Danio rerio: one gene and its partners. The protein of the gene in region 1 binds, or shares a complex with, the protein of each later gene. Links are inferred from orthologs where the notes say so. Each region holds a gene or a part of one and is shown on either strand. Other genes may lie near its edges.

Region 1 (3,495 bases):
AGTAATATCTTCATAAGGATCTTTGTTTTCCAAAATAAACATCTAAACTATTAGGATACATTGACTTAAGAAGAAATAATGAAATTAAACTAGGCATGGGTCGATATATGTTTCTGATGGTATGATAACCTTGGAAAGAAGCACCATGGTATCACAATATTGTGATTACTGCTCTAAAATACGTTCTTTTTAAATGTTTTAAAACTTTTTTTTTTCCATTGAACACAATTTTATTTTTGTGAAACATTTATAATATTTTGAAACTGTCAACATGTAAGGCTAAATTGTTAAAATAAATCATTGACATTTGCTCTCTTCATTAGTTTTAAAAACACAGATTTCATGAACAATACATAACAAACAAATTAAAAACACAAATAACCCTTGAAATGGTATAACAGAACATTTTAGCGGTTTTAAAATTGTGATTTCTAGAGTATACCTTGAAACCGATTATCATCCCATAAATTGAACAAAAGTGAATTTATACTTAAAACTACAAGGACTACAAAAAAGACTTTTCTACCCAATAAGAAACTTCCTTTTTATAGAAAACCTATTAGGCAGCTTATTAAATCTCATTTTGCTTCTAAAGTAAATGTATATCGACATTCACATTGGAAAAACTAGACAAAAATACTAAAGAAGAACATCGTTTTTTTTTTTTTTTCTACAGTGTGATCAGAAGGTTTATTTTAGTTTTGGAATTATTTAAATCTCAAGCTATAAAATAAATAAAAAAATATAAAAGTTCTTATGTTCTTGCTAATAAAACTGTTATACATTTAGAGAACATTTGGACATATTGTGTTCCCTTCAAAGTATTATTAAAGCTTGCTTACAAGGTCTTAAAATAATTCAAAGCCTTAAATTTTCCTACATAAAACGTGCAGAAAGCTTGCTTTATTTGTAGTTGAGTTCAGACTGTGTTTCTAACATCTGTTTTTATTTGATTCATTTTATTCGCAGATATTGCATAGTACGGGTCTAGAGTTTCAACACCAAGTACAGGAGGCAAAAGACCTGGACCAGCTCATTAAAATCCACTACAGATACTTGTCCACCATTCATGACCGATGTCTGCTCAGAGAGAAAGTACGCTGGAATTAGACATTGAAAAAAAAAAAATCTCGAAATTTGACTTATTATTGCACAAAATTGCATGTCACGGTTGAAAATGTACTTCTGATGGGTGGCCTAGTTTTCTTAATCTTTTAAACCGGTATAGATATTTGGAATATTTCTGATCCATCAAATTGGGGTTACTGTGTCTTTGCAGGTCAGTTTTGTCAAGGAGGCCATCATGAAAGTGCTGAATTTAGTTCTCATCTTCTCTGACAGATGGCAGGCTGGTTTTGGGGCCTGGAAGTAAGTAAAAAAAATCTTACATGTATCCCTATCTCACAGCTTTCACTTCAGCTTGATGACCATGAGCTTTCACTTCTCTTTAGCTTTCTTTTTTTCCTCATGACTGTGGATTGCAATATTCACGTCTCTCTTCTTTTCCCCAGAATCGAGTCGATTGACAAAATGGAGTCGGATTTTAAAAACTGTCACATGTTTCTGGTGACCATATTAAACAAGGCTGTTTGCAGAGGCTCATTTCCTCATCGTAAGTCCTAAACTACAGTGCATTTTAAAACAATAGTGTGAAGAAAAGAAAGCATGTTTAAATGTTTGTGGATCAATTTGTGGGTTTTAAATATCAAGTATAATGTACTATTTCTTTAGCACATTTCCCAGACAAGAAGTCACAAAGTGCTTTACAGTAAAAGAAAAAAGGTTAAAATCCATGTACAAACACTACTCGACTGTAAAAACCAGCTCACCTTACTGGTAATTAAGAACTTGTGCAAAAAGATGTCTTTTAAATGTTTTTAAAAAGTTAAAATGAATTGATATAAAGACATAAAATGTCTCGATTAATTATTCTGAGCAAATAAATAATGACTTCACACATATTTTTAGCTTGAATTACAGAATAAACATGAAGTAGCATTCTGTACAATAATATTTTATATACCATTTGAAATCTTTATACTTTGACAATATCATTTGAACTACTAGGTTTCACCCAGTTGGTGGCAGTTATTTTTTAATCATGTCAAATAAAATACAATTTTGTAGAATCACTTTTTTTTTAATTATGTACAGGTCAGACAATTGTTCATTTGCATATAAATGTTTATATTAACTTGGACATTATTTCACTCTAACTGGAAATGATAGTTTCACAAATGTAATTAAAACTTTAAAAACTTAAGTTGCATTTAATATCTTCATGTATATAAAATCACTTTTTGTTAATTAAATTGAATCTGACACTTGATTACTGAAGAAAATATAGAACCTTACCCCCCCCAGTATGTATTTGCTGAATATTACCAAATATATACAATTATTACATAGATGTGTTAATGAAATTAAGTCAAAATTATCTTTTTAATACACTTACTGGCCACTTTATTAGGTACACCTTACTAGTACCAGGTTGGACCCACATTTGCCTTCAGAACTGCCTTAATGCTTCGTGGCATAAATTCAACAAGGTACTGGAAATATTCTTCTGAGATTTTGGTCCATATTGACATAATAGAATCGATGCGAATCTCCTGTTCCACCGCAGCCCAAAGGTGCGCTGTTGGATTAAGATCTGGTGACTGTGGAGGCCATTTGAGTACAGTGAGTTCTGTCTTTTGGATAAGACGTTAAACCATGGTCCTGGCTCTCTGTGGTCATTAAAAATCCCATGGCAGTTCTCCTTAAAAAAAAAAAAGAGTAGGGGTGTAACCCCTGTGTCCAGGCCAAAGTCCCTCAATCGGCCCTTATGATCATGGCCTCTCAATCATTCCCATCCACCGAATTGGCTCTATCACTGTCTCTCCACTCCACCTACAGTTGTTGTGTGACAAGCGCACTGGCGCCGTTGTCCTGTGGCAGCCATCGCATCATCCAAGTGGATGATGCACACTGGTGGTGGTGAGGAGAGACCCCCCCACCATGGTTATGAAGCACTTTAGGTGTATGGCCATACACAATTATTGCACTATATAAATACACATTACATTGTCATTTTTTAGAAACCAGTCTGAGATAATTCACGCTTTATGACATGGCGTGTTATCCTGCAGGAAGTAGCCATCAGAATATGGGTACACTGTGGTCATAAAGGGATGAACATGGTCAGCAACAATACTCGGGTGGGCTGTGGCATTGACACAATGCTCAATTGCCAAGAAAATATCCCTCACACCATTACACCACCACCACCAGCCAGAACCGATGATAGGCAGGATGGATCCATGCTTTCATGTTGTTGACTTCAAATTCTGACCCAATCATCCGAATGTCGCAGCAGAAATCGAGACTCATCAGATCAGGCAGCGTTTTTCCAATTTTCTATTGTCCTATTTTGGTGAGCCTGTGCGAATTGTAGCCTGTTTTCTGTTCTTAGCTGACAGGAGTGCCACCTGGTGGGGTCTTCTGCTGCTGTAG
Region 2 (5,307 bases), on another chromosome or scaffold:
AATTTAAAACACCAGCCAGGAAAGACATTTTTTATTATTCTATATACTCTGCAGATACAGACATGCACATGTCAAAGTTGTCATTTACTTCATCAAATTTTGTAAATATAGATTATACACGGCAATTATTCTAATTGTGTTTTGATTTGTGTTGCGTGTAGATATACAGGCCACTGTTATGGGCCTGCATAGGCAGTACACCCTGTAAAAAAACATTGGATCTTCATAGCTTTTGCTGCAACTTTCTGCTACTCCAGAGGCCCAGCATTGCAATATTATATTTTCCTGATACATTTTTTTTAAATGTAAAAACTAATTTATTTCATTACATTAGAGGCCTCCAATAACATCTAAAAGTGTATTTTTCTACGTTTGGGTCTTTCAGGGTAAACCAAACCCTTGCACTAAACATTTTTAACTACAATTTATAAGTATATGACCATATGCTATTTAGCATCTTCAAAACCATTAAAAGAGAGAGTGTGGAAAAAGAAGCAGAAAAATGATGGACTGCCATCAAAAAACCTACCTTTAGTGAGTCTGAGGCTCTTCTGAGTTCTTTGATAACTGATGACAGGGCTTCGGGATTGATCCCCTGCTCACAGAGACGGACACATATTGACAAAGACTCCATGTCCAATCCTGTATTCAGCAGCCTTGATATCTCCAGGAGAACTGAGAGTGAAAGAATGAAACAAATCATGTCAAACAACCTTGTATGTAAATGTATAAATAAATGTATTATGAAATAATTTGGTTAACGCAGTAAGTGTAGTTATTTCCCCCTTCTGAAAACAAAAAAACAAAACAGAAACATTACAGAAGTTCTAAAGGACTTCATTTTACCTTCAATTTAATTTAACCTCTTATGACAACATATTTGAATTGGTTTTAGTACGTTTTGAGACATAATCAACTAGAATGCCACCAATAAAATGCAACAAAGAAATTACCAATAGAGATATTATTATTAATTTACATTATTAACATTTTTATTCACACTTATGTTTCTTACGTTACTTATGTTTAGTTTGTGAGGATCTGTATCGCCATGTAATAAAATAACAAATTACAGACCCAAAGCTAAGAGGGGTTCGAGTGGTTCGAAATACCCACCCACACCGACAAAGTTCCAGAATTTGCCACACACATGAGCTCAATAGTCCAATTTTATCTGCTAAGCCATCAAAAATTGCAAACACATCCCATAAATAGCTTTAGGACAAAGCAGAATCTGACACAACTGTAAGTGAAATCATTTTTCACTACTGACCAACTGCACTGTTGTTAAATAGAGAAAACATTTTACAAAAAACTTTGATTCTAAATCTTGGACCTTAAGCAGCAAAGCTTTAGTTATACTAAAGTTAATACCTAGGCTATTCTTGTGATCCATGAATTTTCAAATGTACTTTTTTTTTTACATGGGAGGCTATAAAAATCATCAAGCTTTATTTATTTATCTTTTAATATACAGGGTTCATACACATTTTTACTACTAAAATTCCATGCCTTCTCCAGGACTTTTAAGTAAATTTTCATGACCTAATGTTTGCACTGCATATTGTAAAACAGTCAACAATCTATTTAGTTTAAATCTATTTTTATATCTATGTAAAATGTATTTATGTAATGCTTACACAGCACAAATAATGTGAAAGTAGGGCTAAACAATATATAGTTTGAGCATCTATATTGCATTATGTGTATCCACAATAGCCATATCACAAAATTAGACTGTTTATCAAAGATTAAAAAGTTATTATTTTTTAGGTTATTTATACAGTGATGTTATTTTACGTTTTATTGTATTTGATTACTTTTACACTCCTTAGAAAACCATAAAGCACTGTTTATTTTTGCTCTGTCTTGTTTGAATATGCTTGTAATTTATTATATTTTATGCTGATGCACTGCATTGAAAAAGATTTAATTATCCCAGCTGATCTATATGAATGAAATCTTTCTTTCCAAGTAGAGCTGTTCAGTGTTTTTGAAACTAATGAAGTCAGAATGCAATAATTCATTTTAATTATTTAGCCTGACATGTTTACTGTTTCAAAATACTTTAAATATTTCTCTAAATAAAAAAAAGTTGTTTAAAGGGGAAAAAGTTTTTGTTTTTTACTTAGACATTTAAAAAGAATATATATTTTAGTAATCACAATACAGTCATATTTATATACAAGGTTATCATACAGTACCATCAGAATCTAATACCAGTCTATTTCTAATCGCAGTAAAGTGAAATATCACAATGTAAGATTTTTCCAATATTGTGCAGCCCTATGTAAGAGCATGTTTTTGGCAGAAATGGACAGAAAAAGAGGTAAAGAAAACCAACTTATATTCAAGTTGATATTTGTTAGTTTTTTGTAATTCGATCAAATGTATGTGTTGCTCTGTGCAATAGTGGAATGTGCAGTATTGCAATGGGTTAGCTAGCTAGCAAGGTCAGCTGTGATCTTTTAAGTTGTAACAATAACAACATGAATGCTAGTAATATAATGTTAATTGGTCATATATTAATAGAAATTAAATGGATAAAATCACATTTTAATGGCAATACGTTTGATTAGAAATAAATACAGGGAACAGTGTATTAATGAGGACCACCATGTTCTATGGTAAGTGGAAGAAGAAATGGACAGATCTGGCTCTTCCTGCAGATGAAAGTGATGTTGAGATGGGTTTTAGTGACCGTGAGAATGATGCAGGTTGGACATTTGATAAGAACAGTGATGGAGACAGTTCAGGTAAGTTTGCTCGGAGGCATTTAAAACAGGCGTAGTATAGTATATAGTATATAATATATAAACAATGTTAGCTAGTAACTACATTGATACATCTAGATAGATTGTACTGGTATATTTATTATAATATTTACTTAAATGTTTAGAAAATATTTACCTTTACCGTGTTGTATACATTATAAAACAATATTATGTTTTAATAATATTCAGCAAAAAAGAATGGAATAAATAAAAGCTGTTGGAATATCAGTTGTTGAAAAGTATGCATAAGGTGTCATTTATAAGTTCTGTGTTAAAGCTTATAATACTGCAACACCAGTTAAATCATTTCAAAGAACAAAATTATTCATTAGAAGGAAAGTTCTACATTTAAATTTTCTAAGTTATGTCCACTGTTGGACGTCGATGCCATATGGCAACATTTCATAAAGTAACGTTACTTTAAAAAAGCATTTTTTTGAAGTGAATAACTGCAACAAGGTCCACCATATGAGAAAATAAAGAACCACCCCTTTCACCAGGCTGTCTACGGGCATGCATTATAATGACAGCATTTCATCATTCTACTGATGCATTTAATCTTACCATCCATGGTCTCGCGGACAGCGTTCATGTTTGCGCTTGCAGGACTAGCCATGATGCTATCGTTGCTAAAGCTATATGATTACTTAACAGCGCACTATCTTTCATTCAGACGACACTGATGCGTCTATCTCTGTAAACGTTAGTTGCTGGCGTTCTCTCACCATTCGCGAACTTACAACAAGGGTGAAAAATATAAAACGCATTCAACAACAAGCATGAACTAACTGTCAGCCGTTATATTTACACCTCCCGCTTGATGTTATGGTAATCCTGTCAATAAAGTTGCACACGTTCGAAAGGAAGTTACGTAGACACTGAAAGGGTGTCGTTCTTCTCACCTGATTGGCTGTTTTGCAAGTTTTGCTCGATTGTGATTGGCTTGCACCGCTTGATCAAAAATTAAATCAGACGTTGGAGCAATTCATATATCACAGTTACGTTTGTTTGAGTTTCGTTACGATGTAAGTATTTAATTAACTAACACATGGTTAACGTTTTCCCCTTCTTTTATAACGTTAAGACTGCTGATTACCAAAGGTAGAACATTGTATCATTGATCTTTTGTGTATGTATAACAAGATATATAACTAAGCAAACATGATGTTCATCGCTCTGATTTGTTGATACTTTAAATAATCTCCTCTTTTCCGTGTTTTACTCTCACACATTCAGCGTGCTCAGCTGGATGTCTTTTTAAAGATGGGAGACATCGCAAAGATTCATATAACTCCCGAGACTCCTGCTAGACCTACTATCCTGAACCCGTTTGAGAGCCCAAACGACTATCACCGTCTGCATGAGTCTGTGGTGCCCAGTCCGTCTGTCTTTAAAAGCTGTAAGAGCTCGTCAGCGGTGAGTAATTAACTGACTCTACTACATATGAGGAAAGAACTAAAGGGATAGCTCACCCTCCCAAAATGTCAATTTCATCACTATTATTTACTCTTAAGTGGTTCTCAACCATTATTAAATACTCTCTTCTGTTGAATACAAAACAAGATATTCTGAAGAATGTTGGGGGACGAAAACAGTGATTGATATTCATAGTAGACACTAAAAACATGATGGAAGTTCAATTCATGTTTTTTTCTATTTTTACAATGTAGAATGTTTCAAAGCTGCTTCTAGTAGATGGAAACTGTGTCAATCCAGAGTTGAAGTTCAGTTTAGTGTAGTTCAGTTTACTGTGATTTAAAATTCACTGCTAAAAGTACAAATACAGAAGAGCAAGTCCATTGATGTGCAGCTTCCCAAGTCCCAAACCTAGCAAGCCAGTTGTGAGGAACACTTTGGTCAGTTGTTAAAGTTTGAAGGAAAAAAAAAATCAGTCAATGGCTGTTTATTTCTGAACGTTCTTTTGTAAATTTCTCTTTGAGTTCAACAGGGGAAAATCACTCAAACAGGTTAAGGTTGAGTAAATGATGAGAGCAATTCCAGCATTACGGATGTGACATTTGCAGTAAAAACTTAAAGCATACACATAGAATGTACAGTTAAAGTCAGAATTATTAGCCCCCCTTTGAATTTTCTTTTTTTAAGTATCTCCCAAAGGATGATTAATGGAGCAAGGAAATTTTCACAGTATGTCTGATAATACTTTTCTTCTGAAGAAAGTCTTATTTGTTTTATTTTGGCTATAATAAAAGCAGTTTTTAATTGAAAAAAAAAAACATTTTAAGGACAAAATTATTCGCCTTTGTAAGCTATATATTTTTTACACTGTCTACAGAACAAATTATCAATACACAGTAACTTGCCTAATTATCCTAATCCGCCTAGTTAACCTAATTAACCTAGTTAAGCCTTTAAATGTCAATTTAAGCTGTATAAAACTGTCTTTCAAATATTATTTACTGTCATCATGGCAAAGAATAAATAAATCAGTTATTAGAGATGAGTTATTAATACTCTTATGATTAGAACTGTGCTGAGAAAATCTCTCTGTTAAACAAAAATTGGGGAAAAAATA
Region 3 (4,625 bases), on another chromosome or scaffold:
TAAGAAAAATGTATAATAATTATCAATATTTTAAAAACAGCGGCAGATATCTAATCATGATGCTTAACATTTAATACATTCGTGATACATACTATGTGCAATTTTTATAAAACAGCATTTATTTGAAACTCAATATTTTAAAACATACAAAAAATACTCAAATAATAGACAAATAAATAATAGATCTCCCTGAAAGGAAACTTTAAACAGTAATGCATATTTTTTAATATAAAAAAATATCCTGCCATAAAATCCTGCCATAGGTTAATGGTAGTTCTCAAAGAAGCCAAATGAGAGAAAGATACAGCTTATAATGCATCACCTTTGAATCAATTTTGTAGCAGTTTTCCGGGCTGCACATCTTGATGAACTTTCCGTCGATTCCCTGGAAAACATAAAGAATGTCTCGGACGAGAGCAGCTTCCCCAATATCAGCTGGCCCAGAAAAAGAGAGGAAAAAAAAGTAGTGAAAAAAAGACAGTTTGAAGTACTGTAAAGGTCAGACTCATATATCTGTCACAGAGAAAGGTGCCGTGTGGCCCTCTGCATCTTAAACACCTCAGAAATCCTTCTTCAGGTCTAAGGAATGCACAAGAAAGGACACAAGTCTAATGTGAAATGCAAGAATCTACTCTGATTAATTAAAAAAAAAAAAAAAAAGGAAAATATTCTGTAAAATAAAATGAGGGTTTGTTCACAGACGGACCCATTTATTGCATATACTGAATAAAACACTTGGGCTGATGTCAATGGTGTTAAATGATCATTTATATAGGATATAAAATATATTTATTTACATTTATCTTCATAGAGAAATGGTAAAAAAATGTATTTCTGTCATTTACTGAAACACAAACACAAACTGTTTAACACAAAAGAAGATATTCTGAAGAGAAGAATGTTGGAAAACGGTTGCCATTGATTAGAGGGAAAATACTACTGAAGTCAATGGCTACTGGTCTCCAACATTCTTCAAAATATCTTTTTTGTCATTGCTTTTTGTTAAAAAATATTTTATTATAATTATTCTTTTTTTATTATTTATTTATTTGCTTTAATATTATAATTTTTTTATTATTATTATAACTGTCACAACAGCAATGTGACAGGCTATTTCATGGCAAGCTCAACATCCATAAAACACATTTACATAATGATAAATTCAATAACAAATCCATATTTCAGCTTGTTATAAATATAATTTTTTAAAATATACATTTCCTACTATCAAAGTCAATGGCAACCAGTTTCCCACATTCCAATAGCGTTCAGCTGCACGTCTAGCTCCACGTTTTGGTACCTTTTCTCGTGTTTGGTACCCTTTCGAAAGGGTGCCGAACAATTGGTATGGTACGGTTTGGTACGCCTTTTGACAGTGGAAATGGCCATAAAAGAGTACCAAACAGAACAGTACCACTCAATGGAAACGGGCCATAAGGTGTAACTAATAAAGTGGCTGGTGAGTGTATATCCCAATAAAAATAAGAAATCCATAATACTTCCTCTGTATGTCACATGACTAAAGTGTAATCGCAACATCTGTGGTTTCAAATTTGTGAAACTGCTACTGCAATTAATAAATCAGTACTAGTTTTAAACCATTTGCAGTAAGTAAAGGAGGAGTAAATTAAAAGTTTTGGGCGAAGTATCCTTTAAGTTTTTAAAATACTATCCTTATTTTATTTTTTTTAGTATAAGCAATCGACACTTTCCAACTGGCCATGTCTTTTAACAAAAATCTAAGATTACTGCTGCAGATACCAACCACTGCCATCTCCGTCCCGCCTGGGTCTTTGCAGTGGTTTGGGAGCTGGACTGGAGGAGGGTCCGCTGGGGGGACGAGGAGCAGCTGCTGCCCCAGACGGAGAACTGGACACTGGCAGAGTCCAGGCTAAACGAGACCCTCTCATAGACTCTCCAACAGCCTGAGTTCCAGCTCTAAAACAGAAAAAAATGGTATAGATTTATAAAAATTTACCTCATGATGCTGTATGTTAAATTCTAGAACAAAAAGTCCAACTCTAAGGCTGCGGTGAAAGAAATATTTGTCTTTTTCACCACATAAATTTTCGAGACACATTCTCGTTGCCCATTAGCAAAACCAGTGGGAATTCACTAATTACCACATAATGGCACGCTTTAAACAAATAATGACATTGAGCTCTGGACACTTTAATGATGTTGTTTGCTCTGACAGATTTACTGTGAAATGGATCCGGTAATCAATTAATTCAGGAGCTTGGAGGACATGGCCATATTTAAAATATCTTAAGTGCTGCAGGTGCTAGACAAATGCATTAATAATAGATGAGTGTGCGGCAGTTCAATTAAACGTGCGACAAATACAACAGCTGTATAATTGAAAAGATAATTATGAAAAGGGGAGGGAAGGAGAGAGAGAAACCCTTATGTTTTGTCATAGACTTTATAAAGGATTATATGAAGCAATTCAACAGAAGCTGAATAAGAATGACACAACAACTGTTCACAGGAGAGAAAATTCAGCTAGATCTTTTCTTACAACATTTTTTAAACCACCTATAGAACCACTGAATTATTTTATGTACAAAAATAAGTTGGGAATTATTGCCGTCTATGGAGGATGAGGGAGCTCTCAGATTTCCCTTAATTATATTCATTTATAATATGTAATATTTGAGAAGTATGCTTTAAGATCATTCATATAAAATTCTACGTACCAACACAATGATTTCTATATGCAAATACTTGCTGTGTTATACTGTATTTTACTTATTGTATAAAAAAATACATACATATATACATATATGTATATATTTTATGCCGAAATTATTATATCGAAATTATGTCATTCCATTTTTTTTTTTTTTTCGAAGTGTATTTTTTAAGCTTCCCCAAGAATGACGACTTCCACTGCTGAGAAAGCTGCAAATATGAAAAAGGTTTATTGTCTGCAACTGACCCAGTAAGCAAAGATGGTGGGGTCGGTCCAGGCCCATTAATAGAAAACACCCCCATACTGCTGATTCCACTGGTAGCCATGCTGGAGTTATGAGCTGTGGCGGAGCGCTCTGGGTAGCTGAGTGGGAGACTCTGAGGACGGGCATAGTAGAACGGTGTGGAGTGAACATCACGGGGCAAAGCCTGAGCAAGCAGAGCTCCATAACTACACACCTGTAGACAGAAAACAAGATTACTTCTGCGCTTATACACAAAATCCCTTTAAGGCAAGTCATTTTACTCGAAGACCATCTTTGAAATGCCTTGTATGCTGAGGTATTCTGTTTGAATGGGGTAACATCAAATTCTCTAAAAATGCTTGCCAAGCTTAAGATTTAATTTCAAATTAGGAATCATCAATGAATACACCCCCCCCCCCCCCTTCCCCCAAAGAATCGTCAGTCTATATCGATTGCTGATTGTCTCCTGTACTAGAAGACGGGGCTTCATTCGTCATATTGACCTTTACACTTTTCGCCATTCAAAACTATAAGAGCGACACGTCTTGTGTATTCTATAGCCTTTGTTATACATCATGTAAAGTTATATTTCATATCACTGAGTCTGTAAAATAGGATTTCATACAGGAACCCGGCCGGATGGTTTCCTTGGGTCCTCACAGAGGCTGAGCAGGAGGTATAAGATGGACCATCTGTGTTTCAATACACCCTGTTGAACAGAAACAACTGAATCAACATACAACATCTAACAATCTAACGATCATTATATCTGATCCGTGCACCACGGCTAGCTGGGAAATAATGAGAATAATGATCGATTCTGACCTGGGTCTGAAGCTTTCTGTGCAACTCAGAGAAAAGGGCTGCATCTGCTTCCCGCCTTTGTTTCAACACTGCAAGAATTCAGCAATAATCAACAATAAATGATGACACCAAAATATAAAGTTTTTCTTTTTAATGCAGCTATTATTAAAGGGCATTTTTGACAGAATTGTCTCTACGCCGATAGGTCCAGGGCTGGATTATTACTAATGACAACATGGTGGAATAATTATGCATAGTCAGTAAAGGAACAAAGAAAAGTAACAGACAATAAACACACAGTAAATACATTACAGTGGTTTTTGAATCGGGTTGTCTGCAATATTAATGATTTTTGTCAATCTTAATTCTGAAATTCTAGCTGACAGCATTATTTTGTGTTATTTTACTATAAAGAAAGTAGAACTGTAAATTTGACACAAAAATATGTATAATCTGGTACATACAGTGATCATTCTTTCAATATTTAAAAGTAACTTAAAAATGGATTTGATTATACATAACAATTATCCAACCTTGGAAAAGATAACTCAAGACAAAAATATGGTTAAAACCAATCATCAGTTAATCACAAATTATCGATATTATTCACAGTAAATTTGCTGATCAGTTGTATTTTTTTTATTCTGTTATACTGAACATTCAGAATTATGTTGATTTCATCATCTTACCAAAGTCCTAAATCTGATATTATGAATTTCTATGACTACATCTGCTGAAATTCCAGCTACTATAGCAGATTAACAATTCACCCTAATTTCTATTTTTCATGCGGAAACAAAGTTTAATATTATGTTTCTGAAATAAAATTCTTAAAACTTAATTCTCATATAATTTTACTTTTATTTTTTTTTTTTGTAGATT
Region 4 (4,625 bases), on another chromosome or scaffold:
CAGAACATCCACCTGAGCAATGGAGAAGTCAAAATAATTTACATATACATATTGAGACTTTCATACATACACTGTTCTTTTTCTGTTAAAATATTCATAATTAACTGCAAACTGAACATAAATAATTGGTTTGCAGTAGGGCTGGGCTGATAAACCATATGATATCGAATTGTGATAAAAATTTATGCCAATAACAACGAGCTATGAACTTCTTTTTAAGTCTATATTGATCTAGGAGCCAATTACACAGCAGCAATGAGAATCTAAAAGTGTGTTGATATTAGAGATGCACCGGCCACTGAAAATTTATTGGCCCAAAAATATGTTTTGGCATTTAATAGACCCTCAAATTTTTGTGGTTTCAGTCATTTTTGTTGTTCTCTTTTAAATCTGAAAGCATTAACAATTCATATCAAAATATATATCGTTAAATATGAAAAATAATTATGGAGATGGCACTTTTGCCTTATCGCCCAGCCCTAGTTTCCACCACAATTTAAGAAAGTTGAAACTATTCTTTGGTTTCAGACTTGTTTAAAGTTTTTAATTAAATCAATGAATCTTTGTTTTCATTATTTCACATTATGTGAATTGTTGATGATACAGTATCAAGATGCTTTGTTATTATGACTTTGTAGGATCTTCATATAGTTATAAAAGATTACATAAAATAATAGTAACCTATTAAGCATACCGCATGCCTAAAACCGCATAAACTCACTTCTATCCTAAGATGTCTACCATCGCAGAAATAAATTACATTTATACACACTACATCCCTAACAGAGACAAGACAGAAGCAGTGTCTGAGCTCTGTCACAAAAACAAGAATAAACCAAAGAGACAGAACCTTAAAATCCTTAAGAAAAGCATATCCTGAAAGCATAAAGCAATATCCTGACTTGCTGCTCAAGTAACATTTCTTGTTATTATTATCAAATGTAAAAAAAAAAAAGGTTGTGTAGCTTTATACATTTTAAGGATTCCTGGATGAATAGAAAGTATTCGAAACAAATATGTAAAAAAAATAAATGTTTTACGATCACTTTTTATATCATCTGTCACAATATACAAAAATCAAGAATTTAGCTGAAAGTCTGAACACATATTCCAATGTTAGTTCACTTTAACTATATAATCAACTAATGTTTACCAATGTTTTTGAAGTTTACCAAACAAATCCTTCTGATTCCTTGTAACTTTGTAATAGTAGTGTAGGCATATTAGCATCACCAGCAAAGGAGGATTAATTTTTGACTAAATAAATAATTCTAGCAGTAACCTGAAGGTAATACTGAAGGTTGTCCACTAGGAAGGCCATATGGTTGCGGAGTCTCCATTTTACTGCATCCGTCTGGTTTGATTTGAGATGCTTGCGCTGCATCTGCAAAGCCCAGCAGTGCTGCAACTCGGACTGGACTCGACGCACACTCAGCAGGTACCGGAACACTACATTATACCTGTAGTCATGTAGTTAATGATAAATAGTTATTATATTCATGCTAAATAATAATATGAAACTAATAATAACATAAAATGATGACCTACTTCTCCAACACAGCAGGAGTGAAAAGAATATGCAGAGGCCACTGAACCTTGTAAGCCAATCCCAGTGCAGCCCAGCCAGTGGGCGGAGCTTCACGAGGAGAGCTCTCCTGAGGTGGAGTGGTGCCCTCTCGATTCCCAGAACCCTCTACAACCACAAGGATTAAATGATGTGTATTTCATATGTAGATGAAAATGCTTGTCAGTCAGAAATACCTTTGCTTTCTTTTCCATGGTAGTCTATGGTGAGGTGGAGGAGTGGCAAAAGATTGTCATCGTCGAGCAGCACTTTGTGAGCCGCTTGCTGAAATGCCACATTGACATCTGGAAAAAAAATTGTGATATATTTAGAGAAATGGAGAAAAGTTTATGGTTTATAAAGTAAGTTGTATTAATACCATGTTCAGTAACAGCAGAAGGTGGGGTTTTCAGCATATGCTGAGCAAGGTCAATGAAGACCTGGTAGAGTTCACCTCGCCCCAACAAGAAAAAGTCCTTTATGATCTAAAACAATAACAACAGACCATTCATTATGGGTTTTCACTGTTAGAATAGACATTAGAGATCTAAATTGCACATCGGAGTCATGAAACCAGCAGGGATTGTAGGTGCATCGAATGAATTTCCTGCACTTTCTTCCACCCTCAATACTATGGATGAGGTGAGCCCCTTTGGCAAGGCACCAAACCGCTCACTGCCTCGGGGGTGTGGAGGTGTGTGTGTGAGAGAGGGAGAGATTCGCTTTAGATAAAAGCATTTACTAATATGAGAATGGATTCCTTTTTTGGAGGGATCTCATGATGCATCACAAATTGTGGTGCTATGGAAACATTTCTGTATTTTGGTATCTTGATAAATGTGTTAAGCCATCTAATGACATCTGAATTTTTTTTCAGATGTCAATGTGGCATTTCAGCAAGCGGCTCACAAAGTGCTGCGCGACGATGACATGCTCCCCCTGAGACAAATAATGAGAAAGAACCAAATCTCCTACCACAGCTATGCTGATGACACTCAGATCTTCCTAGCCTTACTGCCTAATGACTACAGCCCCATTGACACCCTCTGCCAATGCAGAGGCTCCCAGTTACATTCAGAATAGATTTTAAAGTATTATTACTGGTCTATAAATCACTAAATGGCCTAGGACCTCAATACATTACAGATATGCTCACTAAATACAAACCCAACAGATCACTCAGATCTTTAGGATCATATAAACTAGAAATTCCAAGAGTTCAGTCAAAGCAGGGTGAATCTGCCTTCAGCCACTACGCCCCTCGCTGCTGGAATCAGCTTCCAGAAATGATCAGATGTGCACCAACATTAGGCATGTTAAAATCAAGACTGAAAACACATCTGTTTAGCTGTGCCTTTACTGTATGAGCACTGTGCTAAGTCCGACAGATTGCACTATTATGTTTTTCATTTTCTTTTTCATTCTTTTATAACCTATTTTAACACATTTTAAAATTGTTTTTATCTGTTTTTAATCATTTTTATTGTCTGCATTTTATGTCCTAAACTTGTCTTTTTTATTCCTGTTTATGTAAAGCACTTTGAATTGCCACTGTGTATGAAATGTGCTATATAAATAAACTTGCCTTGCCTTGCCTTGCCTAATGGTGTGATGTGACATCACAGGCAGGGTGACAAAAGGACAAGGAGCAAAAATTTGAAAGAGCATTAGCTTCTGGGTCTTTGGCAAGCACTCTCTGTGCATTTTTAGCCGAACTGTTGGGTTTTTTCACACATGTATATAAATCAGGAATACACACAATTTATGTGCTACTTATCTAGGAGAAGAGATGCCTGGTGAGCTCTCAAGAGGACTGACTGTGCACACCGAATACCTACTCAAGTGTGTGCTCCACTTCTATTTGTTGCACATTGGGAAGGGTGCACAGGCTCACAGACTTTGCGACTTGGGTTCCGGTTTTGTTGTTGTTATTGTTGTACAGTGGAGGATGTAGTAACGAGGATCGCAGATGTATTCAGCAGAGGGAATGGATGGGTCCCCCACATGCTGAACCCAGAATTGTCTTTCTGGATTTAGTGTGGTGCAATGCAGTTGTAGCCAACTGAACACTCATTAGTGAAATGCAACATTGATTGCTTAGAACAAGGACAAAGGGAAGGGGATGGGGCTTTGGTCATCATCTTCTTGGTAGCAAGAAGGGACAAATATGTGACTTGAAGGTATTGAGGAGTTGTGTCAGGCTGCAGATCAGTCTCTTCATGGAAATGAGAAGACATCAGAAGTCATTGCGCAGTATTTTTAGACAGAATCCGAGGACTTTTACTCTCAGCAATGGCAAAGATTTAATGCCAGAAGGATCAGACAGAGGAAGAGCAATTACAACACATTGCATGCTTCAGTGTGCAGCAGTAGTCAGCAAGTTCAACTCACTGAGATTTTCCCAATCTCTAAGGACAGTTTCAGAGCGACCACCTCGGCTGATCTCTGCAAGTCTACTTCTTTAGGAGTCAGAATATGCCACAGAACATGCCTCTTCCCTAAGTAAATCATCTGGCAGCATAGAAACTTCTGCCAAATGGGTCTTATTGGTCCTGCAAAGTGTAGAAAGAGGCTACAGAATGTAGTTTGGTTCTCATATGCTAAAAATGAATGGATCATTCCCACAGTTGTGTGCCTCTGGCAGGAAGTGGTCATGTTCACGCTCAATCCAGGGCCTATGAACAAAGCAGCCTCTTTCGTAATAATAATAATAATAATTCCTTACATTTATATAGCGCTTTACACATAGGGGGAATCTCCTCATCCACCACCAGTGTGCAGCATCCACCTGGATGACGCGTTGGCAGCCATTTTACACCAGACCACACACACGGTGGCGAGGAAACAGAGTAATCAAGCCAATTATGGTATGGGGAGGGTTAGGAGGCCATGATGGACAGAGCCCAGTGGGCAAATTTGGCCAAAACCCCTACTCTTTTTCGAAGGAAATACTGTTATTTTTAATGACCACAGAGATTCAGGACCTCAGTTTAACGTCTCATCCAAAAAACAGCACTCACTGAGCAGTATAGAGTGCCCATCACTATATTGGGGCATTAGG

Evidence for each region.
Region 2: the proteins of tubgcp5 (region 1) and mzt1 are in contact, whole or in part, in a crystal structure (PDB 6L81), measured with the Homo sapiens proteins. The link is inferred for Danio rerio from reciprocal best matches to the Homo sapiens genes TUBGCP5 and MZT1. Residues at the interface, in NP_443135.3 of Homo sapiens: Gln14, Gln15, Asp18, Val19, Glu21, Leu22, Val23, Val26, Ala27, Gly28, Asn36, Ala40, Phe43, Ala44, Asn47, Phe48, Arg52, Phe53, Leu54, Phe72, Lys80, Ser83, Trp84, Leu87, Thr88, Glu90, Phe91, Ala106, Ser109, Ile110; in NP_001065243.1 of Homo sapiens: Glu23, Val27, Leu28, Glu30, Ile31, Ser32, Ile34, Leu35, Asn36, Thr37, Leu39, Leu44, Ile46, Cys47, Val48, Arg49, Leu50, Cys51, Glu52, Gln53, Ile55, Asn56, Pro57, Glu58, Ala59, Leu60, Ser61, Ser62, Val63, Ile64.
Region 3: tubgcp5 (region 1) and tubgcp3 share a complex: the UniProt entries of both Homo sapiens proteins name them as parts of the gamma-tubulin ring complex. The link is inferred for Danio rerio from reciprocal best matches to the Homo sapiens genes TUBGCP5 and TUBGCP3.
Region 4: the proteins of tubgcp5 (region 1) and tubgcp4 are in contact, whole or in part, in a cryo-EM structure (PDB 9I8M), measured with the Xenopus laevis proteins. The link is inferred for Danio rerio from reciprocal best matches to the Homo sapiens genes TUBGCP5 and TUBGCP4. Residues at the interface, in XP_018102626.1 of Xenopus laevis: His233, Leu234, His235, Leu238, Ile241, Trp242, His245, His300, Met301, Thr302, Asn304, Cys305, Ser308, Val309, Gln312, Ala392, Ile393, Leu395, Asp396, Lys397, Arg410, Leu441, Asp442, Tyr443, Asp444, Asn445, Val446, Gly447, Glu448, Ala449; in XP_018110859.1 of Xenopus laevis: Met1, Ile2, His3, Glu4, Leu7, Tyr12, Pro13, Gly14, Ser15, Ile16, Gln29, Pro32, Phe33, Glu60, Thr63, Gly64, Ile84, Arg87, Ala88, Arg91, Arg101, Leu105, Gln109, Leu112, Pro115, His116, Leu117, Val178, Gly181, Val182.

The regions. Positions count from the first base shown.
Region 1 is NC_133181.1:40,205,133-40,208,627, forward strand, and holds part of tubgcp5 (gamma-tubulin complex component 5), read left to right. Parts: intron 1-969; coding exon 970-1,095; intron 1,096-1,279; coding exon 1,280-1,368; intron 1,369-1,511; coding exon 1,512-1,612; intron 1,613-3,495. UniProt on the Homo sapiens protein: Component of the gamma-tubulin ring complex (gTuRC) which mediates microtubule nucleation.
Region 2 is NC_133176.1:34,321,597-34,326,903, forward strand, and holds the start of mzt1 (mitotic-spindle organizing protein 1), read right to left. Parts: upstream 3,626-5,307; 5' UTR 3,391-3,625; coding exon 3,339-3,390; intron 676-3,338; coding exon 530-675; intron 1-529. Other genes in the region: bora (protein aurora borealis), read left to right, coding at 4,038-4,190. UniProt on the Homo sapiens protein: Required for the recruitment and the assembly of the gamma-tubulin ring complex (gTuRC) at the centrosome.
Region 3 is NC_133176.1:49,714,331-49,718,955, reverse strand, and holds part of tubgcp3 (gamma-tubulin complex component 3), read right to left. Parts: intron 3,833-4,625; coding exon 3,765-3,832; intron 3,649-3,764; coding exon 3,565-3,648; intron 3,154-3,564; coding exon 2,938-3,153; intron 1,939-2,937; coding exon of another isoform or gene 1,914-1,938; coding exon 1,766-1,913; intron 436-1,765; coding exon 323-435; intron 1-322. UniProt on the Homo sapiens protein: Component of the gamma-tubulin ring complex (gTuRC) which mediates microtubule nucleation.
Region 4 is NC_133182.1:54,541,942-54,546,566, forward strand, and holds part of tubgcp4 (gamma-tubulin complex component 4), read right to left. Parts: intron 2,050-4,625; coding exon 1,944-2,049; intron 1,870-1,943; coding exon 1,762-1,869; intron 1,694-1,761; coding exon 1,549-1,693; intron 1,461-1,548; coding exon 1,283-1,460; intron 13-1,282; coding exon 1-12. UniProt on the Homo sapiens protein: Component of the gamma-tubulin ring complex (gTuRC) which mediates microtubule nucleation.